Lytechinus pictus: one gene and its partners. The protein of the gene in region 2 purifies or fractionates together with the protein of the main gene of each other region. This does not show direct contact. Links are inferred from orthologs where the notes say so. Each region holds a gene or a part of one and is shown on either strand. Other genes may lie near its edges. The genes, in order: ran GTPase-activating protein 1-like, importin subunit beta-1-like, nuclear pore complex protein Nup50-like and regulator of chromosome condensation-like.

Region 1 (6,903 bases), on a different chromosome or scaffold from region 2:
TAATGTTCATTGTGGAAAATTTACTTTCGCACCTGTATGTAGATCCAATCATGTTGAGAACAGCGCTCTAATAAGAAAGTAGATCGAACAGACAGACAGTTACAGACTCCACTAAACTTTGTTTAAAAGTAAAATTAATTTGACTGCCATTACTTTTATTACGGTTAGGTCTACATGGAAATAAATTATAATGTAATCATATTGAGGTATGTTTCATATTGTGACTTAAAAGTGATTGAAAAACTCCAGCAGAGTCTCGCGGGCCGGATTGAGAAGCTCTGCGGGCCGGATCCGGCCCGCGGGCCGTATAGTTTGAGAGCCCCTGCTCTAGCGATTATTCTCACCATACTTTATAATAGGTGAACCATTATATGAAACAGAATGATAGACCTAAATGTTAAAAAAATTTAGGTACATTTTTACATGTATAACCCGAAGTTCATGGCCTATATAATATGCAAGAAACCCTCTTGTATCATGTATAGGCCTACCTCGGCAAGTCATTAAATTGTTCGTGTATAGGCCTAGTTCAAGTTCAATTTCAAGTTTTATTTCTTTCCACTGAAAGGCACAAACAAATACATTAATTAATATATACAATATCCATGATGTTAATACAAATAGAATAAACTCATGAACAATGTGTTGAGAATATACAGAATGGGAAGGTGGTCTGTATAAAAGCAAAGCCTTGTTGAGCAGATCACCTTCGTAACAACAATAAAAATGCAAAAGACACAACAATCTGCATGAAAGAAAAGAAAAGAAAAAAGATCATATATATATAGGCTAGATAAAAGGTTAACGATATATACAGAAGGGACATCAAAAAGATTAAGAGAGATTTTTCAGATGGGGGGGGGGGGCAAAATCATGAATCAACGTTCCAATGGCGCTCGATCACACCAAACAAACTCACCCACCCACACACCCACACACACACACACACACACACACACACACACACACACACACACATATATATATATATATATAGTATACTGACCTGAAAACAGGAAAAAGATACCTGTTTAGGACTGTTTGTCGTAACTCATATGTGGAGAATATATCTCACTACACAGATAATGCGAGTGCCGAAAGCGAGCCGAAATTTCTTTATATTCTGACCTGAAAGCTTGATATTCTAATCATTTTTGGTACTAATTATTAAGATGGGTATATAAAAGAACAATGGATGCGAGCGCGAAGCGCGAGCTGAAAATTTTGATCTGAAAACTTTGACAGTTTAATGGACGTTTTTAATAAAGAGCAAGATATATATTCAACAAAAGATTATTGCAATCGGAGCGGGAGTTCTTTTGAGGTTTAGAACTGAGGACGGGTCCTTCTATTCACCTATTTAATCATGAGAAGTATGGGTTTTTGCTACAGAAATGATGCGAGCGCGAAGCGCGCGCTGAAAATTTTTATAACCCAATCTGAAAAGCGGACATTTTAAACACGATTTTAAATAAAGATCGAGTTGTTTATCTCAATCTCGCTTGCTGATTTCTGTGTAACATTGCAATCTTATTTTATTTTTGCACATGCGGAATTATTGGGGGGGGGGGGAGGCAAAACGATATGTTTGCCCTCCCCAATATTTTCATTGGTGCCGACCCTGCCCCCCCCCCCCCCCCAGGATCGACGCCTCTGATCCATAGAAAGACGGGGGGGGGGCAAATTGATTGATTTTATTCGTCAAGAATATCACAGGAGATTACAATAAAATTGAAGAATACCTTGACAGGATAGCCCATGAAAGCCGAAAGGCTTATTTCCAATGGGGTCCTATAGTTAGTATAAAACATTAACATAAAGGAGTGCATGCTAATCCAATTTTCTACAGTGAGTTTAAAAGGTAGACAGATCTATCACTATAAAAAAAATATATCACTAACAGGGTTGAAATTAAAAAAATAGAGAAATAAGTAAGTGCAACACCCAGTATTGGGAGTGAAATGCATGTACAGCGACACTACTATATAGTGCATGCCCTAGCTCCATAATGGCGTCGATTGCACTGCAAATCAATCCTATATCCTCTCATTATTTTATGCAGGCCAGATGTAAACTTTATTAAAGAAGTGATTACTATACGTATATCTAGAATGTATACATATATTATTAGGCCTATAGCTCATCGATCTACGTGCTTCCTACGCAGAGGCGTCGTCCAGGGGGGCAGGGGGGGGGGGCAAAAATATAGTTTAGCCCCCCCCCCAATAATTCCGCATGTGCAAAGAATAAAATAAGATTGTAATGTTACACAGAAATCAGCAAGCGAGATTGAGATACACACAGGCAACTCGTTCTTTATCTAAAATCGTGCTCAAAATTTCCACTTTTCAGATTGGGCGCTCGCATCATTTCTGTAGCAAAAACCCATACTTTTCATGATGAAATAGGTGAATAGAATGTCCCGTTTTCAGTTCTAGACCTCAAAATAACTCCCACTTCGATTTGCATTAATCTTTTGTTGGATATATATCTTGTTCTTTATTAAAAACGTCCATTAAACTCAAATTTTTCTGATCGAAATATCAAAATTTTCAGCTCGCGATTTGCGCTCGCATCTATTGTTTTTTAGATACCCATCTTAATAATTAGTACCAAAAATGCTTAGAATATCAAGCTCTCAGGTCAGAATATAGAGAAATTTCAGCTCGCGCTCGCATTAATTTGTTGGTGAGATATGTGTCTCTATCTCATGAGTCATATATGTATATATATATAGGCATATGTGTGTGTGAGTTTGTTTGTTTTGTGTGATCGAGTGCCTTTGGAAAGTTGATTCATGATTATTTGCCCCCCCCCCCCCCAATCTGAAAAATGGATCGACGTCCGCCCCTGTTCCTACGTTAACATCATGGAACAAAACTCTTGTCGTTCATATACAGTGCGTCCCAAGAAAAAAAACGAAACCACGAATTATATACTGTAGTAATAGATGCATCCCAGGTTTTATCAGAACTTGATTACAAATTTGACCTCACTGATAAATTATCATCGGTCAACCATTATAATAGCTTAGGGGTTTTGTCTGATGTAACTCATATTTTACCTCATTGTGTATGAGTGATTAGCAGAAACAATTTGAAGAATGAGGATAGACCTTTACCAAGAAGTTATTGACGTTTTATAGGCCTATCTGAATTTCAAAAAGACAATTTAATGTCTCAAAAATTATGATCTGTTCTTTAATTTGATACTTAATTCAAAGAGAATAACCCAAGAATAACCCTACCCAAAATAGTAGGGGGACACAATATTAAATATCCCCTACTATTTTACTATTTTTGGTTTATGATGGAAAGAAATACATCTTTCAAAATCGAAATAAAACATGTATTTTGGACGAGATGACCTTTTTTTTGGGGGGGGGGGTGAGAACCTTTTTTTCTTGCTTGCTTGTCAAATTTATTTTGGTCGAAATGAGCTTACATTTGGGGTGATGACCGGGGGTGATGACCTTTTTTTGTCAAATTTTGTCCCCCTTACCCGCCAAACGACCTTCTGGGGCCTCGGAAATGGGGGGGGGGGGGGGACTGCGGAGGCTTCAGCCCCCACACTTTTTTTCAAAAACCGTGTACAATAACGTAAACAGGACCATCTGATTATGATTTTTTGCATGGTTAGCCGCCCCCCCCCCCCCTTTCTTGTACTGTGGCCGCGGCCCCTGACTTTGTTATCTTTTATTTTTCTTCTCATATACCGTTTACAATCATGGATTATCATGTGAGTACCTCCAATTTAAAGAAGAGGCTCTAAAGCTTTGCATTTATATAGACAATTATAAATTACATTGTGGACATGATATGAAACAACGATGGTTCTCGGCACTCGGTGTCTGTTTTTTTTTTTTTTTTTTTGGACGCACTGTATATTATTCGCAGAATAATTCCCGAAATATAGTTTTCGGCGGGCGCACTTTCAGTTATTTTCGCGATCGCGAGACAGCGAAGAGCGTCCAGTTATTTTTCGATAGATTTACACTAAATATTCATCATGGCAGATGTTTCTGGTGTGACAGAATTATTAGCAAAAACATCAGTGGACCAACTCATAGAAGTGTCATTCTCTGGAAAAGGACTGAAGCTGAATTCTGCAGAAGATGGTGAGTGTCCGTACATTTCTTCTCGTGCATATTGAAGGAAGTGTTAAGTCCCATTCGTTTACTTTTGTGTTTTTGAATAAAGCCCATATTCATATATTGCATATTTTTATTTTACAAAATTACACATAGTAAAGTACCCAAATATCGGACGCTTATAAGCATGATTAATTGGAGCAAAGCGAAAACACAATCATTTAATCAAATAAAAATCATGTTTATTTCCGTAGTACAAATGTTGAATTTAGGCCCTAGGCCTACTCATAAAAAAAAATTGAAAAAATGATGATAAACGGTCGTTAGATCTAAGTTACGGTACTTCAGTTCAGAAGCTTGTTTTTTGCCAAAAATCGGATGCAGTTTCCCAATATCAAACGTGTAGAGTTGTGCGCTAAGATCAATTTGATATTTCGGCAATTTAAATCGTGCTCTAGACCCCAAAATAATTGTTTAAGTTAATTAACGGTATTTTATAGATGGCAAATATAGCGATCTTCAACGCTTATATATAAGCGTCGAAATTTGTAGCCATCTCCTTGTATTAGTCTATAATATACGACGTGTCAAATTGTAGCGAACTAGTTCGCTATTTCCAGATCTCCTCTATATATATATATACGAGGGGGAATTGTAGCGAACTAGTTCGCTATTTTCCATATCTCCTCTATATATATATATATACGAGGGGGAATTGTAGCGAACTAGTTCGCTATTTTCTAGATCTCCTCTATATACAAACGACGGGAAATTGTAGCGAACTAGTTCGCTATTTTTCGGATCTTAGTTCGCTATTTTCTAGATCTCCTCTATATACAAACGACGGGAAATTGTAGCGAACTAGTTCGCTATTTTTCGGATCTCCTCGATATATATACACGAGGGGGAATTGTAGCGAACTAGTTCGCTATTTTCTAGATCTCCTCTAGATACATACTACGGGATTTGTAGCGAACTAGTTCGCTATTTTTCGGATTTCCTCTATATATATATACGACGGGAAATTGTAGCGAACTAGTTCGCTATTTTCCAGATCTCCTCTATATATATATACGACGGGAAATTGTAGCGAACTAGTTCGCTATTTTTCGGATCTCTTCTTTTGTAGCGAACTAGTTCGCTATTTTTCGGATCTCCTCTATATACGACAGAAAATTGTAGCGAACTAGTTCGCTATTTTTCGGATCTCCTCGATATATACACGAGGGGGAATTGTAGCGAACTAGTTCGCTATTTTCCAGATCTCCTCTAGATACATACTACGGGATTTGTTCGCTATTTTTCGGATTTCCTCTCCCTATATATACGACGGGAAATCATAGCGAACTAGTTCGCTATTTTCCAGATCTCCTCTTTATATATATACGACGGGAAATTATAGCGAACTAGTTCGCTATTTTTCGGATCTCTTCTTTTGTAGCGAACTAGTTCGCTATTTTTTGGATCTCCTCTTTATATATACGACGGAAAATTGTAGCGAACTAGTTTGCTATTTTTCGGATCTCCTCTATAAAATTTTATACACGAGGAGGAATTAGTGAACTAGTTCGCTATTTTTCTAATCTTTATATATACAAGAGACGGAATTGTAGCGAACTAGTTCGCTACAATTCCCCCTCGTGTATATAATTTTATAGAGGAGATCCGAAAAGTAGCGAACTAGTTCGCTACAAATCCCGTAGTATGTATATAGAGGAGATCTGGAAAATAGCGAACTAGTTCGCTACAATTCCCCTTGTGTATATATCGAGGAGATCCGAAAAATACCGAACTAGTTCGCTACAATTTCCCGTCGTTTGTATATAGAGGAGATCTGGAAAATAGCGAACTAGTTCGCTACAATTCCCCCTCGTATATATATATATAGAGGAGATCTGGAAATGGCGAACTAGTTCGCTACAATTTGACACGTCGTATATTATAGACTAATACAAGGAGATGGCTACAAATTTCGACGCTTATATATAAGCGTTGAAGATCGCTATATTTGCCATCTTATTATTTCCCGTTAATTAATTGTTGCGCAAATTTCAATTACTATCAGTATCAATAATTTTGATATAGAAATCTTTAAATAATGATATTTTACATACCAAACGGACCTCTTTCGGCTCTGAACATTGGACGCCTTATCTCAGGCTCAGCTGCGCGCGACTTCGTTCTGAAAACGAGCGTGTACGCGTCAACAGCACGCATTTCCAATTCAATCGGCCGATATGACCGATGTTTGGGATCATGCCATATTTGGAAGGGTGTCAAATTTCACTCCGTAGGGAACCCCCGCGGAGGCTATTGCAGATTTTTTCTCGATAGATCGAACATGTGCGATCTCGGCTGCAATATTTCTGGCGGAAATCACTTCTCCCTTACGAGATTTTTTTTGGTCATCGATCTTTTAGAGTCGATAATTAGCGAGCGTGAGGGTCATAAGAATTTCAGGAAGTCAAAATCATGTATTTTACCGCTGGATTTATCCCCTGGAATATTTGTATTGAGCAGCAACTTGGAGCTACTAGCTACTGTGTGTGCAGTTCAATAGCAGGTACATGTTCATGTATCTTATGCATGCAAGTCCCCTGCCAGTGTGGGTCCCTGTAGTTATGGGGAGAGGGAGTTGAAGCCATTTCGTCCAAGACTTGGAACCGTCCGATGTTTGCGGACTTTACTCTACATAAAGTCATAATGTATAAATTTTTCTTCTCTCCTCAGCCAAGGAAGTTGTTGCAGCAATAAAAACCTGTGATGGGATGCAGTCATTGAAGCTGAATGGCAACACAGTTGGTGTGGAGGCT
Region 2 (7,364 bases):
CAGCAAGCAGCACATAAAAATACGACATGTCTCATGATTTTGCCATCACAAATAAAAATATTCAATATACCGTAGATCTATATCAAACTAAGCCAACAACCATGACAACATCATCATCAAATATATATATTCTCAAGCTAATCAATGTTGAAATATCAAGAGATCGTGGTGTTTTATTATGTTTTTGTCAGGACCCCTCACCTGTTTGAACACTGGTTTGTCAGCGCGAGTGCTAACATGCAAGTTCGTGTGGGTCGCACAAATGGTCAGAGATTTTGGAGCAAAAGTCAACTTTGAAGCATTTTGTGGTCACGTACCCAACCTGCACGAGGATTCAAAGTTCATCGCAGGTGTCGCTGTGCGTAATGCTATAGAGTTTCAATGTAATTTTACATGTACTTTGTGAATGAACGTGAGTGTATTGCTTACACACATTCAGGTGGATAATTTGCATATATGTAAACTTAGTGACTCATCGATCATGGTGTAATCATTCAACCGTGTGTGCGGGTGTATTTTGATCTATTTATCATCCCCTGTTTTACATCAATTTTGGAATTATCTTTGGTCGATATATCAAAGTCTCACGGCAGCAATCATAATCAACCAAACAACAATGTCAGTGGAAGAAGTAAGTCGGTACATAAAAAATATTTCATCAAGATGCAACGCAGTGTTTCATGGTACTTTTGTTGAAGTCGGAGGAGACGTAGACGGGAGAGCTTCAGGCAACCGTGAATACAATGGGAGGCTGGTGTGAATTTTCTAGCCGGCCAGACTTTGATATATCGACCGATGAAAGTTTACACCTATTAAGAGAGAGTTTTAATAAATGACCTGTAAATGGTGTCATAATTCATATATTGGTAACATGAAAAGAAAGGTTAAGAAAATGTGTAGTAATGGAAGAGGATGCGAGAGCATAAAGGAGTACAAAGTTAGTGCAGTGGTTGAACTGGGTCCATATTGTAGTGAGATTGGTGTAACTGTTGGAGATGTGCAATTGGCAATGTGTTGTGAGAGTGATTGGTAGAAGCTTGGTTGGGAGTGTCTGACGAATGGAATAGCAAATGTATTATATAATTGGGCAAAGAGCCAGGAAATGTGTACGAAGCAATTTACACTGTTAACTGAGCTACTTGTTTATATTGATGATAATGTAAGTGCTCAACATATCTACAAAAAAATACAAAATGTTTGACGATCCGCGTTAGCAGGTACAAAGAAGATAAGCTTCATGAATTTATGAGAGAAGTGTTTGTTAGGGAACGGAGTAGGTCAGTAGTAGTACATGTAAGGCAAAAGGGAAGAGTTGTAAATATTGTAGGGTGAGCGTAAAGTAAGTGATCAAAATGTAAATACATGTAATTCTTGCCTGCGACCAAATATGGTCAGCCCCCAAAAGAGGTAAGAGAAATGAAAGTGATGGAAAAGAAGTACGGAAAGATGGAGATGAAGTTAGATTCATGTAGGAAAAGATTAGTAGAGACGATCGTAAAGTTGAGAAATGTTAAAAGAAAAGAATTGAGGAAAGGTGCATCACTAGAAGAAAGAAAGGCGACGGTTGTTCGGATGGATAAGGAACTACAATTAAATAGGATTAGAATAAGTAAACTCGAACGAAAATATGCAAAAATCCGCAAAAAGTTGAAGGAGAAAAGAGGCAAAAGGAGGAAGGATACACTGCTAACTACGAAAAAAAAAATTGATGAGAAAAATAAGATATGACAAGTGAAGATTTTTTTTTAAATCTAGGTTTGATATGTGCATAATTTATTTAATTTTTTTATTCCTTTGTCATGAAACTCCATATCGCTATCCACAGGAAATGCCAGGGTACATTCAGAGTAGGAAAGGCAACCTAAATGGCCCTGGTAATTTCTAATTTTTGTCTCGCCTGCATAGCAGAGTGAGACTATAGGCGCCGCTTTTCCGACGGTGGCGGTGGCAAAGGCGGCGTCGTCAACATTGAAATCTTAACCAAGGTTAAGTTTTTGAAGTTTTGAATTTTGGACATAAGAGAAACCATGTATCCTTGAATATCATGCGCGAGTTTCAGGTCACATGACCGAGGTCAAAGGTCACTTACGGTAAACGAACTTTGGCCATATTGGGGGTATTTGAGGAATTATCTTAACTGAAATTTTATGGATCTAGTTCATGAAACTTGAACATAAGAGCAATCAAGTATCCTTGAACATCCTGTGCTAGTTACAGGTCACACGACCAAGGTCAAAGGTCATTTAGGGTCAACAAACTGGTAATGTTGGGGGTATTTGTGGAATTATCATCATAACTTTAAAAGTCTATGGATTTAGTTCATGAAACTTGGACATAAGAGCAGCATTGTATCCCTGAATACCCTGTGTTTGTTTTAGGAACATGGCCACGATCAAAGGTCATTTAAAGGTCAATGAACTCTGGCCATGTTGGGAGTACATGTATGTGTTGAATTGGCATCATAACTTAGGAAGTTAATGGTACTTGCACATGAAACATCGACATAAGGGTAATCAAGTATGAATGATTGTTTTGCACATGTCTTAGGCCACATGATCATGGTCAAAGGTCATTTTGGGTCAATGGACATAATATTTTATTATCTTATTAGTGTTTTCTTCTGTGAATAATTATTATTAATATTAGCTGTTTTTCAAAGGAAGCACTGCTGCTATATCGAATTGCGTAATGCAGGCGAGACTGCCAGAGGCGTTCCACTTGATTTGAAAATGGCCTGGTAATTTTTCTTTTTTTTTCAATGGCAGAAAAATAAAGTAATGTTTAACACTGGTGATAGCGAGCTCATGGCCAGAAATGTGGTTTGCTAACAAGTGTAAATGTATAGATCTAGATCAGACTATTTGTGTCTGTGTGTAGATCGAAGAAAACATAAACAAGCTTTAGTGTTCTTGACGGTACAGTTTAAGGCTTTTTATAATTTCAATATTTTTAAAATACTTTTTCGGGCCACCAAATTTTAATGTTGGGCCACCAAAAAAAACAACTTACGAAAGTATTGGTGGCCCGAATGGGCCACCCCAAAAAAAGTTAATGTGGAGGCTTGCCTAGTAAATATTTTAAAATTGTCCACTGCAAAGTATTGCTCTGACTTCAAATGCTCTAACAATCAAATTGTAGTGGGAAAATAACTAAAATATTCTTAAAGGACAAGTCCACCCCAAAAAATAGTTGATTTGAATAAAAAGAGAAAAATCCACAAGTATAACTCTGAAAATTTCATAAAAATCGAATGTAAAATAAGAAAGTTTTAAAGTTATGCTTAAAGTTATGCTTAATTCCACAAAACAGTTATATGCACATCCTGGTGGGTATGAAAATGATGAGACTGATGACGTCATCCACTCACTATTTCTTTTGTATTTTATGATATGAAATATTCTATTTTTCTCCTCATTGCCAAGTGAAACAACAATTAATTCCTCCCTGAACATGTGGAATGAGCATTGTTTAATACTATATGATTCAGTCAAGTTGGTCCTTATCGTCAAATCTATAAAAAATGAAATATTGTATAATTCAAACAATAAAAAACAAAAGAAATAGTGAGTTAGGGACATCATCGACTGCCTCACTTTAGTTGTGCATATCACTGTTTTTTGAAAAATAAGCAAAAATTTAAAATGTCGTAACTTTCTTATTTTACATCCGATTTTGATAAAATTTTCAGCGTTTTGCTAGTTTAATTTTTCTCTATTTATTCAAATCAACATTTTTCTGGGGTGGACTTGACCTTTAATGAACATTTGTGTGATGTCCCATACACGTATGCACTCATGTGTGGATGTGACTCTGCAAAATTGAGCAGATTTCTGCAAAGCATTGGTCAAACATTTGATGCCCTAACAGAAAAATTATGAAACAAATATTTTGACAGAACATTTTTGTTTGTCCAATACATGCATTAATGTGGAAAATGGTTATTTGATTTGTTTTATCACTTGGATGAAAATCCTACAGCACACTGTACAACAGTTATTAGGTGTATAATAATCAAAATATAAATAATTTATTGGTTGGATTGCTTAACTACATGTAAGCTAGTCGTACAGACTGTTTCACCCTAAGGCTCATCAGAGTCGCTGATGAGCCTTAGGGTGAAACAGTCTGTACGACTAGCTTAGTTAAGCAATCCAACCAATAAATTATTTATACTCAGCTCCTACACAGTCGAGCACTATTAGATATTGCAGTATATCACTATATACTTACCTACCTAATAATCAAAATATACTTTTCATTCACTTTTAGATGTTTTTTTCCCACCATTTATGACATGATCAAATCTTTAAATTATGAAATGTATAAACACTTGTGATTATATTTTCTTATCCAGACACAGCGGAGCTAGAAGCAGCACAGAGGTTTCTAGAACAGAAAGCCAGGGAAAATTTGGTAAGTAACAACTTGGTCATTTTTTTTTTTTTAATTACAAAAACCTAGACTTTTGTAAAACTATGATAATTAGGTACATGTATGTATGAGGGAAAGTAGTACTGTATGGAGGAGAATATTTTAGTTTGCCCTTTTTTTCTCTCTGACGGTTTAGGAAGAGGTTCAATAGTGAATTACATACATGTACATGTACATGTATTTAACTTTTATTCAAATTTGTAGTTATTGTTATATTACTTTTGTTTGATGGATTTTTGACCGCTTTATCAAATTATCAATTTCCCTGAATAATCCCTTTCTATAAAATTCATTTATTCTGTATCAGAAAGGTATTTAATCTTTGTCCCATTTCATGCTGGCTTTTTATCAAAACAATAGTTTATTATTAAAATATGAGTTATGTTAAACCAAACTGACCTTGCCCTAAAATTCACAAAATTTAAGGCCTAGATTATGTAGCCAGCCAGGGCAATGAATTGTATCTGTTTTAACTTGAACTGGCCATGCTGGATACATGCACATTGGTATGATAGTAGCTGGTGTATCCTACCCTCTGCTTGTGTACAAATACAAGCTGCATGTAATTAGGCTTTGTATAATATTCTGTACATGCACTTAAATTTAATTTTTCTGATCTGTAAGGCATTTACATGTAATGATACACAAAACTCACATATTTAAATAATTCAGTGGCTACAATTTTTGTGTCAGTAATAATGTTTTATTTTGCTTGTACAGCCGCTTTTCCTCACTCAACTTTCTGAGATCCTTGCAAATGCCGATAAGGCTCATGTCGCTCGCATTGCAGCGGGTTTACAGCTGAAGAATGCACTTGTATCCAAAGATCCCAATATACGGCTTCAGCTCCAACAAAGATGGTTAGCGCTCTCAGCAGAAGTCAGGAACAATATCAAGAGACAAGTAAATTGATTACATGTTTTTTTTTCATAGTTTTTGTAATAGACTCAAGTGTCAGGCTAAATTATATTCTGATAACTGTCTTTTGATCAAGCTACATGTACCATTAAGGAAATAGGTTAATTTGAACCTGTTCTCATTCTAGCAAACAAGAATGTCAAGTTGAATTTTTTTAAAAGATTTTGGTTGGCTTTGGTAATCAGTAAAGTTTGTTGTGCCAACATGCCTATGATAATATTGCACTCATCTCTTTACAGTTATAATCATTTGTAATTTATTTATTTTCATTTTTACTGTAGTTTATTTGATGGAAGCTTGTGTTAGAATATCCACTGTAGCTGTTTATTAAGGAGAGAGAGGAGAAAAAAACCAGGATTCTATTATCCTTTCCTTGCACTTATGAATGTAATGTAAGTATTAATGATGCAAAGGTGTGAAGAATAGGATGAAATTTGTTGTGGCACTTGCTCTATCCTCAGGCACTTTTTTTTTCTTTTTAAACTAGGTTTTAATGACATTGGGTACAGAGTACCAGGGTCCCAGCTCAGCTGCACAATGTATAGCAGGAATAGCGTGTACCGAGCTTCCTGGTAAGTTATGGCCAGAGCTTTTACCTCAGTTGGTCAGCAATGTCCTCAACACTGCTCAAGGCACTGACCACCTCAAACAGAGTTCCTTAGAGGCTATCGGATACATCTGCCAAGATATCGTGAGTGAAAGCCAATCAGAAAACAAACCTGTTTCAGTTTTGAGTGATTAAGAATATGTTGCGTAGTGTAATACGCTTTTTTAAATTGATGAACATCTGTTCCATTGTCATAAATTTAAAAAAATGAGGAAAAAAATGAAATTATTTTTTATTTACTAATTTTGATAGATACAATATATAATGGGCCAAATACAATCTGTAGAGTTCTCAAGGTGCAACAAAAGAAAGAAGAAGCTGCTACTTTTCTCAATTCTTGTAAGATTTACAAGTAAAATATGTTATTCAGAGAGATATCCATTTGATTTGACATAAGTATTTGGCTTTGAATTTTTATGCTGTAAATACCTTCACGCTAATACTCCCAGGGTATTTTTATTCTTGTCAGTATGGGGGGCATTACAGGCCCCCTTAAGATCTCTTAAAAGTAAAAAGTCAGCGAGTAAAAAAAAATTGCACCACAAAAATCGGTAGTATTATGGTTAAATTGGAATGAATGAATTTTTGGAATTGAGATATCAGGACATTGTACTGTCAGCAGATTATAAAAGGTTTAATTCAAGTGTTATTTCTTTTGTATAGAGTTTAGCACGTCACATATCCATTCCACAGAGGGGAGACCTTTGAAGGACCTTTGAAAGACCAAAAATTGGCAAGGTCTTACAGCATTCTCCAAGATAACTGAAATTTGTCATCTCTGTGGAATGGCTCAGAAAGACCCTCAAAGAATTCTGAAAGACTGATGGATATTTCTTTTCTTACTAGTCTTAGACTTCAATGGTCTTTCAGAGATCTTTTATGCAACAAGTGATCTTTCAGAATTCTTTCCATGGACTGCCTGGTCTTTCAATGATCTGTCAATGACTTTTCAATGATCTCTCATAAGTCTTACAGTGATCTCCCAAAAAATCTTGAGAGACTGTCGAAAGATCAAGCAAAGACTAATAAGAACCTTGAAAGTTCATAGAAAGACCGCTGAAAGACCATTTTCCAGTAAAGGGGCCATTCCACAGAGAGCAAGACCGCTGAAAGACCTTTCAAAGACCATGAATTTTGGTCGATCTTACAGAGGTCTCTCAATGAACCTACAATGGTCTTTGAGGTCTTACACGAGTCCTGACCAATCTTTCAGCGGTCTTCGTGGTCTTCATGGGCTCCAAAACTTTTTGAAACGGCTCAAAACAGTCTTAGAACAGTCTTAGAGGAAAATGGTCTTTCAGTGGTCTTTCAGCAGTCTTTCAGTGGTCTTTCGATGAACTTTCAAAGGTCTTACTAGTCTTTCAATGATCTTTCGGCGGTCTGTCAAGATTTTTGCGGAGATCACTGT
Region 3 (7,145 bases), on a different chromosome or scaffold from region 2:
AGCCGATCGAGATGGGGAGCATTTTATGAAGATTTTTCAGTGGTTTCAACAACAGATTTGCTTTCCGCCAATCACATGCGAGGGTTTGTCATAGCTTGTAACATCCCTCTATAAACAAACAAAATCACCGACAAAACTCTTTTTGAAACACTCCCCAGCCTGCCTTTTGACCACGTGGTGTCTTCAACAAAGTATCAACCTTGGGGCGTTGACTGACAAACCACAGGGATTAACACTTGTTTTTTTCTTTATGCAAGTTTTTTTTTCTCGGACTGCTCTTAACTCTTTTTTTGGGGGGGAGGGAGGGGGTGCTGGGCATCGACAGACAAACCACATGGATTAACACTTTTTTTTTCTTAGTGAAAGTTTTTTTTCTCGGACTGCTCTTAACTTGTTTCAATTATGACAAGTTTACTTTTATACAGCCTGCTACAAAAGTCGTTTGACACCCCCCCCCAAAAAAAAAATACATACATAAATATAAAAAATAATAACAAATAAATAAAAAACATGGAAACAAAATGTTACGCCATCCCTCTTGGTTTATTTTGAAAATGATCTGTGAAGTGATCGTGAATGGAAGAAAATGGCTGGAATATTTGTGTGATTTGTGATGGGTGATGTATCCTTTTTGTGCATGTGCGGTCATGAATAAAATGAAATAAACTATTGGATTGATTTTAATTTAAATTTATGATGGACTGGTGGCGTGATAAGATGATCAACTCAATTTTGGCATGTGTGAAAGATAGAATTGACATTATTAAAATGAAAAAGTATTGATGACCAGGACTTGGGGGGGGCAAAAGACAGAAATAGAAAAAAGGGGGGAAGATCGAGACTCGGAGAAGAGGAGGATGTTGATTGTTTGTGGTAAGAGAGGGGTGGTGACGGGGAGAGGATGGGCCGATGGGAAAGAGAGAGTGAGGAATTAAGGGGCTGGGAGATAAAGAAAAACAAAATCAAGAAAAAAGAGTGAGAAAGAGGCGGCCGCGGGATAAGAAGTCAAGGGGGAGGTTTTTACTTTTTAGACAACATGTGGAGATTCACAAGAGGGAGAAAACATGGCCTGAAGGGAGTTAGCTAAGAGGGGGGGGGGGGGGTTCAACACAATGGACATAAGAAAAGTTATTTACGAGATGTCAAAATTTGAGGTCAACAAACTTTGAACCTTCGACGAACACGTGTTGATGTGAGTGGTAAAAAAGGGGCGTATCTAAATGTGAATGAGTGGGGCCAAATCGGTGAAGGGAAAATCACGCAAATCTCCTTGACTGTTTCAGCAGGGAATTTGGTGCTTGGAACTTGGGGCATGTACACAAGTTTAGCAAAATAGCAGTGAGTAGGTGCGGTATAGCATTTGGTAACTTGACTACATCTAATTCATTTCAGCATGGAGATAGGATTAATAAATTGTACCACGTGCTTGCTGAGATAATTTCGCGCACGTGCACTGTGCACAGGTAACTCTCTCTCGCCGTCTCGGTGGGGCCGGGAGAGAGCATGATCGTATAACTTTTTGCTCAGGTCTTTATAATAGTTGGGACTTGAAATACGATAATTTCTCATTTTCTAATCTCTCTTTAATAAACAAATCATGATTATTTCCATTTGAAAATCTAAGGTTAGTGGTGACTTGCAAGGCTCAAGACAAGTCTCAACTTCGTCATTTTTAATTTTTTTTAATCTATGAAAATATGTTTGAGAAAGTTTCTGTCAATGAGAACGGACCATGCTGAGCATTCCTCAGCTGACCGCAAGCATCCACTCTTTATCCGAGGCCATATCAGGGCTAAACAAACATTGGACACTGTTTGCACAATCAAAATGAATTGGGAATTTACACCGGTATTAGTCGGTATACCGGTATTGAAGCAATTAGTAATACCGGTATTGAAAATATCAATACCGAAAAAGCTTATACACATATGGTGTAACTGATATTGTAATCCGCTAGGTGTGACGGGAAAAAACATAGGACTATACAGTAGGAAAAAAAAAAAAAAAAAAAGTATATGTGAAAAAGAGGAAGCAAATTGCCTAAAAAGGTAAAAGCAAATATAGAAGAGAGGGGGTGTATTTACTATTAATGAAGAAACCATAGTATACATTGTAAATAAGCAAATGTGGTATTGGTAAATCTAAAAGAGGTGAGTGGAGAAAAAAAAAAGTAATATATACTCCATTGGCTCTCTTTTATTAGATAAGCAGTTTTCAGCAGCTTCTTTTTGCCAAAACAAAAGTAGACGGTGAATATTGACGGTGAAAAGGGGTAATTTTTCATGAGGAATCTGCTTATCACATTTTTATCTGCCGCCAACATGGCCAAGGTAATCCTTTTGCAGCAAATGTAAACAAAGGAAATTGGACTCCAAAACTGGAGACTGTCTCTGAAATTGGATACCCAAATTCTTTACAAAAGTCTCTGATATTGGAGATAATCTCCCACATGAGTCTCCAATATTGGCCGTGCGCCTCTAGGCTCTACTGCAACTTGCAAGTCCTTTCATGAAACGCCCCCCAGATCTAGGCCCTAACAGTAACATTAAAAAGTTGGAGTCTGGACCACATTTTTTTCTAAAAATACTTAATCATGACACTTACATGAGTCCCATCCTTAACTTTCACCATCAAGCGAGTGCAGTGGTACTTGTAGATCTAACGTTACTTGTAACTTAATTTGTAGGCGCTGCGAGCGCGAGTGGACCGAGTTACCAGAGCTCAGAGCCACACAGCCGGCGCCGGCCCACCCCAGCGGCAGCGCACCCGGCACATCCGGCGCGGCAGTGGGGGCTAAGCCTGGCCGGTAGCCGGCTGCTGGTTACAGTTAATAGACGCAACATGACAACGTACATATTAAATAAGAAAATCACAGATATAATATGAGGACTATGCTGACCTGTTTTGGGGCTGAAGCTATGAATACTCGTCATTTATTTCGTAAACGGATGTTGACTTTCCACTTCATTCATTTCTGCATGTAGCGCGCCATTTTATAAAATGTCAATGAACAACAGAGGGCGGCAAAGCATTTTATGCAAGCCCTATATATAATAGGGCCTTGATTTTATGCAGAGTAGTAATAACTCTGATTTTATGCCTCAGCTCCCTCCCTGACCCTGCGCCTGCCAAGTTCAGTCTGACATATGAATTCAGAAAATGAGGGATCAAACATTATATTGTTCTTCTAGCGTTTATGATGTAAAAACTAGGGGGGGGGGTTCTTATTGAATATTTGAATTCACAATCACTTCAAGTCCAAGTTCAAGTTTATTTTCCATATCCATTATCAACATAAGCAAATACAAATCAAACATACATTATAAATATAAACAAATACAAAAGAAATATGATATTAATGATTACAAATCAATTGCAGGTTCCAAAATATTTGTAAAATAGTTTTGACACAATCTGATATGGAAATGAGGGGATCCACTAAAAAGCATTGCTTGTAGAGCGTGGATCCCCTAAGAAAGTATATTAAACATTTGAGAAATCGGACTCATTTGCAGGTGTAAATACAATAGGTTGAAATAGAATATTGGAAATAATAAAAAGATGGTGAGTAATAGCGAGAAATGATAAAAAGATGACAGAGATATGGGACGATACTAAAAACTAAAAAGAAAACAAAGACATGATGAAGAATAGAGGGCAGAGAGAAGGAATAAAGTACTGAAAGGGGAGCGAGGGGGAGAGAGAGGGCGAATATAAGTGGGGGGAGAGAGAGAGAGAGAGAGGGGGAGAGAGGGAGGCACACAAACACACACAGACACAGATTATGTGGAGAGAAAGGGTCGGAAAGAGAGAGATAAGGGGGGGGGGCCAAGAACGAGAGTGCAAACGTGGATCAAAGAGAGCGTGACTTAATAGCGTGCTTAGATATTACTAAAAAAGATACGAACTAATTGATTACTTTGGTAAGACAGTAACATAATTTTTTTTAGTTTTCTCTTAAAGGAGTGGATAGAGGGGGCCTGTTGAACATCTGTATGGAGTGAATTCCAAAATTTGGGGGCGGTGAAAATAAAAGTATTTTGCGCAAAACGAGTTCTTAAGATAGGCAGATGAAAGTTATCGGCTTGTCTGGTATAGATACCTATGAAAATTTTTATTTTGAGAAAAAAAATTGGTATAAGTCTTGAACCTTTAAAATTTTGTAATCAAGGAAAAGCGGATTAGTGTGAGAACGGGGGTGTGAGAATAAAATAATACGAAGGGCTTTTTTTTTGTAATAATAATATTTTGTTAAGTAAACTTGGGTGGGTATTGCCCCAAACAAGGATCCCATAGTTTATATATGGTAATATAAGAGAAGAATATAATGTAAGTAGAGAAGTTACAGGAATAAACGTTTTCAACCTATTTATGATGCCTTTATTTCGGGATATTGTTTTACAAATATTATCAATATGGCATTTCCAGGAGAGTTTGTTATCTACGTGAACTCCCAAAAATTAAATTGAGGAGACACTTTCCAGTTGAAAATCGTCAATAAAAATGTCAAAAGGTAAGGAATCTATGGTATTACTGAATAAAATGTATTTAGTTTTTTGAAGGTTAATTGATAATTTGTTAGCTCTGATCCAATTCAAAATATTAGTTAATTCAGAGTTTATTATGTTAACAAGTGTAAGCGGATCATTGTGAGAGAAGAATAGATTTGTGTCATCAGCAAAAATAATGAAAGATAAAATGTCAGATGCTCTGCAAAAATCATTTATATATAAAATAAACAAGAGGGGTCCCAGAATACTTCCTTGTGGCACACCACAACTAATATTACACAAATTGGAGGAATGGTCATTAAGAAAAACAAATTGTTTTCTGTTAGAGAGGTAATTCCTGAACCACTCCAAGGCCTTCCCACGTATGCCATAATGCAACTTGACTAGGCTTACACAGGGGCGGCGGAGCGAAGTTGAAAGTGGGGAGGGGGGCACAATAGGAATAAAAATCCACCTTTTCTTTGGAAAAGAGCACTATATCTTAAAACAAAGAAAACTAAATTACTATCCCACTGATTGATTGATTGATTGATTTTATTTGTCAGGCAACTATGAACAAGTACAAGAAGATATTAACAGAAGTGTATACCTTGACAGGATAACCCATGAAAGCCGAGATGGCTTATTTCCAATGGGGTCCTTACATCAGTAATTGAAGACAATGTACATCTATGAAAAAAACACCTATAGAAATCTACAAACTACATAAATTAAGTCTAGACCACTAAATTAACACGATAAATTGTAAAACTTAATATATAAAAAGACAAAAGCAAATAAGTTTGCCATGAAAAACACGCAGTCAACAAAATATGATTAAAATAATTGTTAAAAAAAGGTTGAGTAAACGATCATTACTTCTAAGTTACATATGAGAATTATACTAATAATCAATTTTTAGGTAGCGGTAAATGCATCGTAACTAATACAAGATTCATGAATCGTAAAACCTAAGATATGAAAAAGTACAAATAAGTTTGACATCAAACTTTCACGCAAACAACAAAAGATGATGAAACAATGTAAGACAAGTTTATTAAAAAAAATCATATCTAAATAGTTATATATAAGACTACAATATTTAACATTACAGAGTGGGGACGTTTTTAAAGTGTTGTTTCAATACTCTTTTAAATTGTGAAAAAGTCTTAACCGATTTAACATGATTAGGGAGGGAATTCCAAAAATGTATACCTTTATAATAAAATGTGTTACCAATTTGACCTTTTCTCATAGGTACAACAAAGTTAAACAGACTATTTCTTGTTTCATGCCCGTGAATATTAGATGACCGTGTAAAATTTTTTGATATGTAATGATATTCGTTTGAATATAAAATTTTATGAACATGGTGAAGTATAAGTTGTTGCGACCTCAAGTCTATGCGAAGAAGGCCAGCTTTTTCGATTTCATTCTTCCCAACATGTGTTCTTGGGTGTAAGCAAGTAATAAATCTAACAATCTTATTTTGAATAATTATAAACTTTTTTTGATCACCCTTTCCAAGACTGCAGTACCATGCTGCATTAGCATAATCAAATAAACACTGTATTAATGAAAAGCTTAAAATGCGTCTGGATTTCGTATTCATGCAATTTTGGTACCGGTATAGAAATTTCAAGCGAGCATTATAGCTTTTTTGACAATAGCGTCAACCATGGATGTACATGAGAGATCACTATTTAATATCAGGCCTAAATACTTCACGGAATTCTGTCTCTTAATTAATTGATTGTTATAGTATATATTGAAATCATCTGTATGCTTAGACTTACCCCGCGAACAAAACAAAATACTTTCAGTCTTACCAACATGTAAGCTAAGCTTGTTATCTATCATCCATTTAACACAATTTGATAATTCTAAGCTAAGTTTTTCACCGATCAGCTTAGGACTTGTATCAGAATAGAGTAAAACACTGTCGTCTGCATATACAAGTAATTTACTTTCATCAACACAAATACACATATCATTGATATAGCACATAAAAAGAATGGGACCTAATATGCTCCCCTGTGGAACTCCACACTTTATAGGCATAGAATATGAAAGTACATTTTGCATGGATACCACTTGACGGCGATTGGTCAAGTAAGACCTAAACCAATTCAAGCATGCTGAATTCAAACCCATCACTTCTAATTTCTTTAAGAGTATTTCATGATTAACCGTATCGAATGCTTTTTGTAAGTCAAGAAGAACCATGCCAACATAACGGCCTATGGAAATTTCATTCCTAACAAAATCCAACAAGTGAATTAAACATGTTTCAGTAGAATAACCATTCCTAAAACCAGACTGAAATTCATAAATGATTTTGTATTCTTTAAAGTATTTCTCAATTTGAGAATACACGCATTTCTCCAAAATTTTCGACACTATGCTTAACACACTAATAGGTCTATAATTGCCAACGTGAGTTTTGTCTTTCTTTTTGTGTAGTGGTGTGACTTTAGCGATTTTCATTTCATCAGGGAAGGTACAAGTTGAAATAGATAGGTTAATAATGTAAGTTAAAGGTATAAAGACGTTTTTTGCACCATCCTTTAAAAATCTAGCAGGAACCAAGTCAAGTCCGGTACTTTTTGATATTTTCAAGTTGGATAATTCATCTAATACAATCTTTTCTGTGAC
Region 4 (6,908 bases), on a different chromosome or scaffold from region 2:
TAAAAACTTGTTTTTATAAGAAAAAGATAAATCAGACAAGTTGATATGTGAAAGTTTGAACAATATTGAACAAACAACAAGAAAGTTATGAATTTTTAAAAGTTGTAAATATTGGTAATCACTATACTCATGGAGACTTCAAATTGGCCACATATGGGATGTCATAGTGATGTAAGGCAAGGACTACTCTTCCATGTACTCCATTACATATTATGGCTAAAATGTCATTTTTCCGAAAAGTTTTATTTCAAATTACATTTTTCTTTTATGAGGACATTTAACAATATACCACCTGGGTTATATTTAGATTACTGCCCCAGGGGAATGGGTACTTAGGAGAAAACCACAAAACCCTGATAATAAAGTACATGGCCTATGGGAAAGTTGTCCTTGCCCCTTGTCATAATTTACTTACCCAGTTGCCAATTTGAAATCTACATACTATTAGTGATCCCAATTTTAAAGCAGCTATAACTTTCTTATTGTTTGTCCGATTTCTTTCAAAATTTCACCATTCTGTTTAATTTATTTTTCTCCTTCCCAACACAACATTTTATGGCAAAGGCTGGATTCCCCTTTAAGTCTTTTGTTACCGTGCGATAGCTTCTGTGGGAAACCAGTGAAAACACGTTTATTTAAAGAAGAATGAAACCCTTGAAACCAGCTGAATCTATATCAAAGAGAAAAATCAAAGAAACATATTGTTGAAAGTTTGAGGAAGATTGAATGAATAATAAGAAAGTTATGATCATTTGAATGATCGGATCACTAATGCCATGTAGATCCTCCCATTGGCAATGCGACCAAGATCTGTGATGTCACACACGTACAACTCCCTTTATTTCATTTATATTCTCACTTTTATAGAGTCTATCACAATGTGAGGTGTTCTCTTTATGAGAGGAGAAGTACAGAGGTTTCACAACATTAAATCATTGATGAATCGTTTGTCATATGATTAGAATGAGCAAAAAGAGATGTTTTGGGGTATATTTTCAGTGTCCAAAAGGGGAGAGTTCTTCACCTGTGACATCATAGATCTTGGTCGCATTGCCAATGGGAGGATCTCCATAGCATAAGTGATCTCGACATTCAAATGCTCATAACTATTCTATTGCTAGTCCTATTTTACTCAAATTTTTGTTGATCTTATTTTTTGATTTTTCTGCTTTCACAAAAGCTAACTTGCTCCAAGAGTTTCATTCTCCTTTTAATGAAATTATGGAAATACAAGCATTGACAATTTTCTGTGATTTAGGTATCAAAGAAAAAAGAAGATATTGAACTTTTTAGTCATGTGATTTTCTTTTTGAAATTCAGATACCCCCCGCCAAATGAGTTTTTGGCATCCTTTCTTCGAAATCTTTTTGCTCAATAATGCGTCAATGAGGAATAATCTAAGTAATACCAGATGAAAGAGGAGATTCTAAGCTTTACATTGGTAGGTCATTTGTCTATTTTATTTATGATTAAGTTATGATAAATCATCGCTAAATCTCGGTTTCGTTTTTTCTGGGACGCACTGTATATATATTGGCTCATTACGCTTCATTAAAAGAAGTGAGAAGCGCGAACAACTGTTTGAACATTCACGTTCTAGGATATGCAAGCGTGAAGCGGAATTTTGCATTTTGATATAGTGTTAAAAACAAGTTTGCTATTTGCCAACTCTTCCCCTTTTAAAATTCTTCACTTTTCTTCCTCTTTTTAGTATCCCTCCTGTGTAATTGTCTTATTTATCCCTTCCTTGATATATCTCCTCCTCCTCCGAATAAGAAGAATAGGAATAAAAAGGAGAAAAAGAAGACGAAGGAGGAGAAGTAGGGGAAGAAGGAGAAGAAAAAGGAGGAGAAGAAGAAAAAGATCGAAGAAAAAGAAGAAGAACAACAACAAGAAATGATATACTATTTACAAAGACAAGACGAAGAAGAAACGAAAAATTAAGAAGAAGAAGAGAAGAAGAAGAAGAAAAGAAGAAGAAAAAGGAGGAGGAGGAGAAGGAGAAAAAATATCGAAGAAAAAAGAACAAGAACAACGTCCAACAACAACAAGAAATGATATACCGTTTACACAGATAACAATGCATATACAAAATGAAATATTGTTTGTATGATTTATCACAATAATAAAGACCAAATTATGCTGCCATTACAGAAAGTGAAAGGTTAAATAACAGAGTGCATGAGGAAATCATTGTCTATATATAAAAATAAAGAAATAAGAAAAAAAAAAGTTGTCTTTTGATTGTGGCTTTTGAAACTGGACCCAGACGAATAATTAACTTGAATCTGAAATTGAAAGAGTCCAGGAGGCCGTTGCATAAAGCTGTTCATAAGTTAAGAGCAAGTTTAAGAACAACTGGTGAAACTTTCTTACTCCTAAACCATCGCCAATGAACATTTTGGTGTACAGTATACCATTTACAAGAAAGGTTAACTAGTCGTTCTTAAAGTCGCTCTTAACTTACGAACAGCTTTATGCAACGCCCTCTGGAATCTTGATTATTCCTTTTTACCTATTTTTTTTTATTTTGTTACTATTTTGTTTTTGTTTCTGTTATCTTTCATTCACCCCACTTTAGTTTTTTTTTTTTAGGTTTTCGTTTTATGCACGGCCTCTCTGAAAACAAGCCATTGGCTGATCGAGTGCTGTTTTACCGTGTTTAAAACTTTAAACAAAATATATCAAATCAAATCGAATCAAATTCGAACAAAGCGGTGCATAAATAGGTAAAAGTATTAATGTGAGCATGAAAAAGTAAAATATCAAAGTAAATTGATGTTTCTATCATGGACAAGCGAATATTCAAATTGAATACAAGTCATATTAATGCTAAAAAAAAATTATGGTGATTAAAAACTAAACATATAAAATATTTAAAAAAAACTTAAAGAACTGAAACTTAACATATAAAACCATTCGCAAAATTATGTGTACTGAAAACAAAATATATGGAACGATTGCAAACTAATATTATGGTAAACAATGATAAAAAATTGTCAGTTGATGTGTAATACAACAAATTAAACAGAATGATACTCATAAAACATTTAGTAATCCATATTACGACGGTATCCGTGTTTTCAGCATCACTCTAGAGACTAGAAATATATAAGTATACCACCTAAATTTCAAGATCATAAAATTATTGTCTTAAATGACACGCCCTCATTTTTTAAATAAAATCATCTGAGGCATCGATCATAAGGGCGGGGGGCAATCGCCCACAATGAAAATATTGGAGGGCAAACATAATTACCGATTTGCTTCCCTCCCACTTTTTTTATCTTAAAAAAGAAAAAGGGAATGCAAATACTTTATATTTTTTAAAGGCATTGGAAATTAATATAAAACTATCCAACTTGACATAAAAATACAAAGTTGTCAATATTTCGACGCGCTTGTGCTTAAAATACCAGCCAGTTTTGACATTCTTTAAATTGTATATTTGCCCATCGACCCCCCCCCCCCCCGTGCTCCATCCTGAAACCTGGATAGTGGATTACCATTATAGTTTCTTTTTAAAGTTATGTGAAGTGGAGTTTATTCATATTATTCACTTGATAAGAGATGATGAATTTATATCAGAGTTATGCATAATACGTTACCATGCTTATGGGGGGGGGGGGGGGGGCTTTCACCATAGATCATTCATTGCTTCCAAAACAGACAGAAGTTCAAAAGCATCAGTGATATGTACAGTATTATGATTCTCAAAGTTTTTGGTATTTTGTTTTAGAAATGATATTAAATTTGCTGTTTGTGTTTTTTAATTGTTCGAATAAACTCAACCTATAGGCCTACTCAAAGAAAATTATTGACAAAATTAAAACCACTTAATATAATAAATTTCGGAAAATTCCATACGCATGCGGAATCCCAGTTTTTCATTTCTGGCTTTATTCGCAGAGCTAGAGATACCATCGAGTTTTAAACGGAGGCGGCAAACGTGTGTTACGTGCAACTCTTTTTGTCGGAGAAAACAAAATAAAGCTTGGTTTATAAAGGTCAGTTTCCAACTATTGACAATATCACTTGTTTTGAAGGATGAAATAGATATTATTATTTGTGTTTGAAGTGCTTTGTATGTTTTGGTTGTGAGATAAGCTAAACAATATTTCGAACGAACTTCGCACAATTAACATACCGCATACAACGCGATTATGAATATGTGGGCGCAGTGTTTCTCCTCGGCCTCGCGGCTTGACCCGTCGCGTTTAACTTCAAAGTTCAAGCGCTGCGCCGCGCTATCGCATTTCCTGTACCGTACCAGCTGAGAATGAGTGTCACTATTTCAAGCCAGGCGGCGCGTTAACTGTCTCCCGTTAATATGTGAGGTCATTTCATGCTTTTGGGGTGGTATTCTGACTGAGATCCATTTTATCTCAGAATCAGATCTAATAAAATATTTTATCTCCTTCAAAATCAGTGAGATAAAATACCCTTAAAATCTCTCCGAATTGGTATTTTGAGAACAATTTTATCTTCATTATTTTTAGATATCTGGATCTGGATGTACAGTGCAGGACCGTTAGGTTTAATGCACCGGGTAAGGAGAGGGCGCAAATAGTTTAATGCACCGGGTAAGGAGAGGGCGCAAATGAGTTTAGTCGAAACGTAGTGGCTTTCTTCGATCTTAATTTATTCTTGGCTTTAATAAACTGTAACACCTCTGGTGATGTACCGGTACTGCTGACAACTTCGTTAGGGAGTTGATTCCAGGCCAACGAACGTTGTATTCACAAAAAAAGAATTTCTTAACTGCTCTGCGTTACATTAACTGTCTTATTGAGAAAATGACTTGGAGTTATTTGTTACTTGTTTCTCTACCACATACAACATAGTTAGTAGCATCAAAGTTTACAAATTTCTTAGCTTTGATATTACGTTATAAATGTCTTGCTTTCATTAGAAATTTATCAACAGGAAGGGCAGGAACCAACCCCTCGACCACTTTGAAGTAGAATTAGCTAAGCCAAATGAATTCTTTTATTTTGGAATAAACCACAGCTTATTTGTACTCATTTTGAAGGGGATATAATTTTCTATCTAAGTAATAAGAGTACAGTTTTTCCTAATAACTAAAGCTTATTTAAATTAACGCATAATCCATTATGCAAATATTAAAAATGTTCTGCCAATGATCTGGTGACGTGGCGTGATGCATGTGGAGCGTTGTGGCCCAGTGGATTAGTCTTCGGACTTTGAAACAGAGGGTCGTGGGTTCGAATCCCAGCCATGGCGTAATTTCCTTCGGCAAGAAACTGATCCACAATGTGCTGCACTCAACCCAGGTGAGGTAAATAGGTACCGGTAGGAAGTAATTCCTTAAAAAGCTGTGTGCGCTATGAACGCCTAGCTTAGCCGGGTAATATAGGAGCGCCTTGAGCACCTAACAAGGTGCGCAATATAAATACCCTATATTATTATTATTACATTATATATAATAATAAATTAGACCAAGATTGCCAACAATCTTGGTCCAATGTATATACATTTAATTGTTCTAGACTAAACATGCTGAATCATATTTCATCTTGCCATCTTACACCCTAATTAGCATCTAATTATATATGCAAATGAGCAGCATTTAGCGCATAGGCTGAGGTGAACTTGTATTCACATTCATAGTAGGTCTACCTGTGACTGAAGAATATTCTTGCACTAAGTTTTGTTCTGATTGGAAGTAAAATTCCAGTCTCCACTGAAACAAATTAAAGATGTGCATCAAGCAAGTTCTGTTATTGTGCACATTTGCATTTTATTCCATGCATTAATTTGCATATTAATTACAATTAGCTGTTGTGTATTTCACGATATATGTGTGCAAATGGCAGAGTGGTATACACACACAAAACAATTAATAATAAATCAGAGGGGAAAATATCAAATGAAGGTAAGGAATTAGATCAGAACACCAATCAATTAATAGTAATAAAAATATTTAGGTACTACAAGGGTAGAGTTACTTTTTTAAAAAAAAGGAAGAAGAAAACCCTTTTACAGGCTTCATCAGCAACCCCCCCTAACCACCATGTCCTGTCTCAATTTTATTTCTAAGTCTTATGTTCAAGACAAACACAGCACCCCAACACTCTTTTAAAAAGATTAAGCCCCTTACCCCAATAAACAAACACACAGTCACAGAACAACACAATTCCTCAGCCCCCCCCCTTCCCAATCACCTCAAATTATAATTTTTTTTACTTTCTCTTTTCCTAATTCTACTTTTGAATAGATATAAAGTTTCCATCAAGCAGCTGAAATCATCAACATGACAGGACCTAAATTTCTTTTGCCATTAAAAAAATGATTAAAATTGATCTTGAGAATCATTGGATACACTTTTAAAACTAAAAAGCAAGATTTGTATACTTTCAACCTGAATTTACATGATTAAAGACTATTTCAATCATCAGCAGAAACATTGTCAGCAAATTTATCTATATGTGGGACTACATCAGAAATAACTTTCCTATTGCCTTCCACCCATATGGTTATCGAGCTACAGCCTTCCAAAGTGCGGGGGAAAATCCGAAATTTTTACGCTCATAATCACTCTTCTCAAAAAGCAGAAAAAACAGTAGAAAAAATCAAATATTTACGAAAAATTCTCGGAAATATTCTTACCTTCGCGAGAAGCCATCTTGCATGTAGTATCGAAGTGAAAATCTTGCAAAAGACGAGTTTACCCACAACCCTCAGAACCCGGAAGTAAACAATGCTGCTAACAAATATGGCGTCGATCACAGAAACTCCCCGGCGAATGCGAAGTTCAGAACCCTAATTATCTCATGACGATCGCTTGATTCAGATGGAAATGGGCTGGAATATGGAAAATGTAAGTGGAAATTACATTTTGACTATTGCTGTTTTCGAAATTTCAACATTTCATTTCAAAAACGATA

Evidence for each region.
Region 1: the proteins of importin subunit beta-1-like (region 2) and ran GTPase-activating protein 1-like purify together in Homo sapiens (affinity purification with mass spectrometry; 3 studies listed by BioGRID and IntAct, with this or other methods). This does not show direct contact. The link is inferred for Lytechinus pictus from reciprocal best matches to the Homo sapiens genes KPNB1 and RANGAP1.
Region 3: the proteins of importin subunit beta-1-like (region 2) and nuclear pore complex protein Nup50-like purify together in Homo sapiens (affinity purification with mass spectrometry; 4 studies listed by BioGRID and IntAct, counting the BioPlex papers as one, with this or other methods). This does not show direct contact. The link is inferred for Lytechinus pictus from reciprocal best matches to the Homo sapiens genes KPNB1 and NUP50.
Region 4: the proteins of importin subunit beta-1-like (region 2) and regulator of chromosome condensation-like purify together in Homo sapiens (affinity purification with mass spectrometry; 3 studies listed by BioGRID and IntAct, counting the BioPlex papers as one, with this or other methods). This does not show direct contact. The link is inferred for Lytechinus pictus from reciprocal best matches to the Homo sapiens genes KPNB1 and RCC1.

The regions. Positions count from the first base shown.
Region 1 is NC_087254.1:11,050,600-11,057,502, forward strand, and holds the start of ran GTPase-activating protein 1-like, read left to right. Parts: upstream 1-3,881; 5' UTR 3,882-4,008; coding exon 4,009-4,117; intron 4,118-6,820; coding exon 6,821-6,903. UniProt on the Homo sapiens protein: GTPase activator for RAN. Converts cytoplasmic GTP-bound RAN to GDP-bound RAN, which is essential for RAN-mediated nuclear import and export. Mediates dissociation of cargo from nuclear export complexes containing XPO1, RAN and RANBP2 after nuclear export.
Region 2 is NC_087245.1:3,731,297-3,738,660, reverse strand, and holds the start of importin subunit beta-1-like, read left to right. Parts: upstream 1-4,355; 5' UTR 4,356-4,413; intron 4,414-5,151; 5' UTR 5,152-5,334; intron 5,335-5,836; 5' UTR 5,837-5,842; coding exon 5,843-6,040; intron 6,041-7,364.
Region 3 is NC_087253.1:24,834,026-24,841,170, forward strand, and holds the start of nuclear pore complex protein Nup50-like, read right to left. Parts: upstream 3,013-7,145; 5' UTR 2,900-3,012; intron 1-2,899. UniProt on the Homo sapiens protein: Component of the nuclear pore complex that has a direct role in nuclear protein import. Actively displaces NLSs from importin-alpha, and facilitates disassembly of the importin-alpha:beta-cargo complex and importin recycling.
Region 4 is NC_087261.1:5,083,628-5,090,535, reverse strand, and holds the start of regulator of chromosome condensation-like, read left to right. Parts: upstream 1-3,890; 5' UTR 3,891-4,007; intron 4,008-6,908. UniProt on the Homo sapiens protein: Guanine-nucleotide releasing factor that promotes the exchange of Ran-bound GDP by GTP, and thereby plays an important role in RAN-mediated functions in nuclear import and mitosis.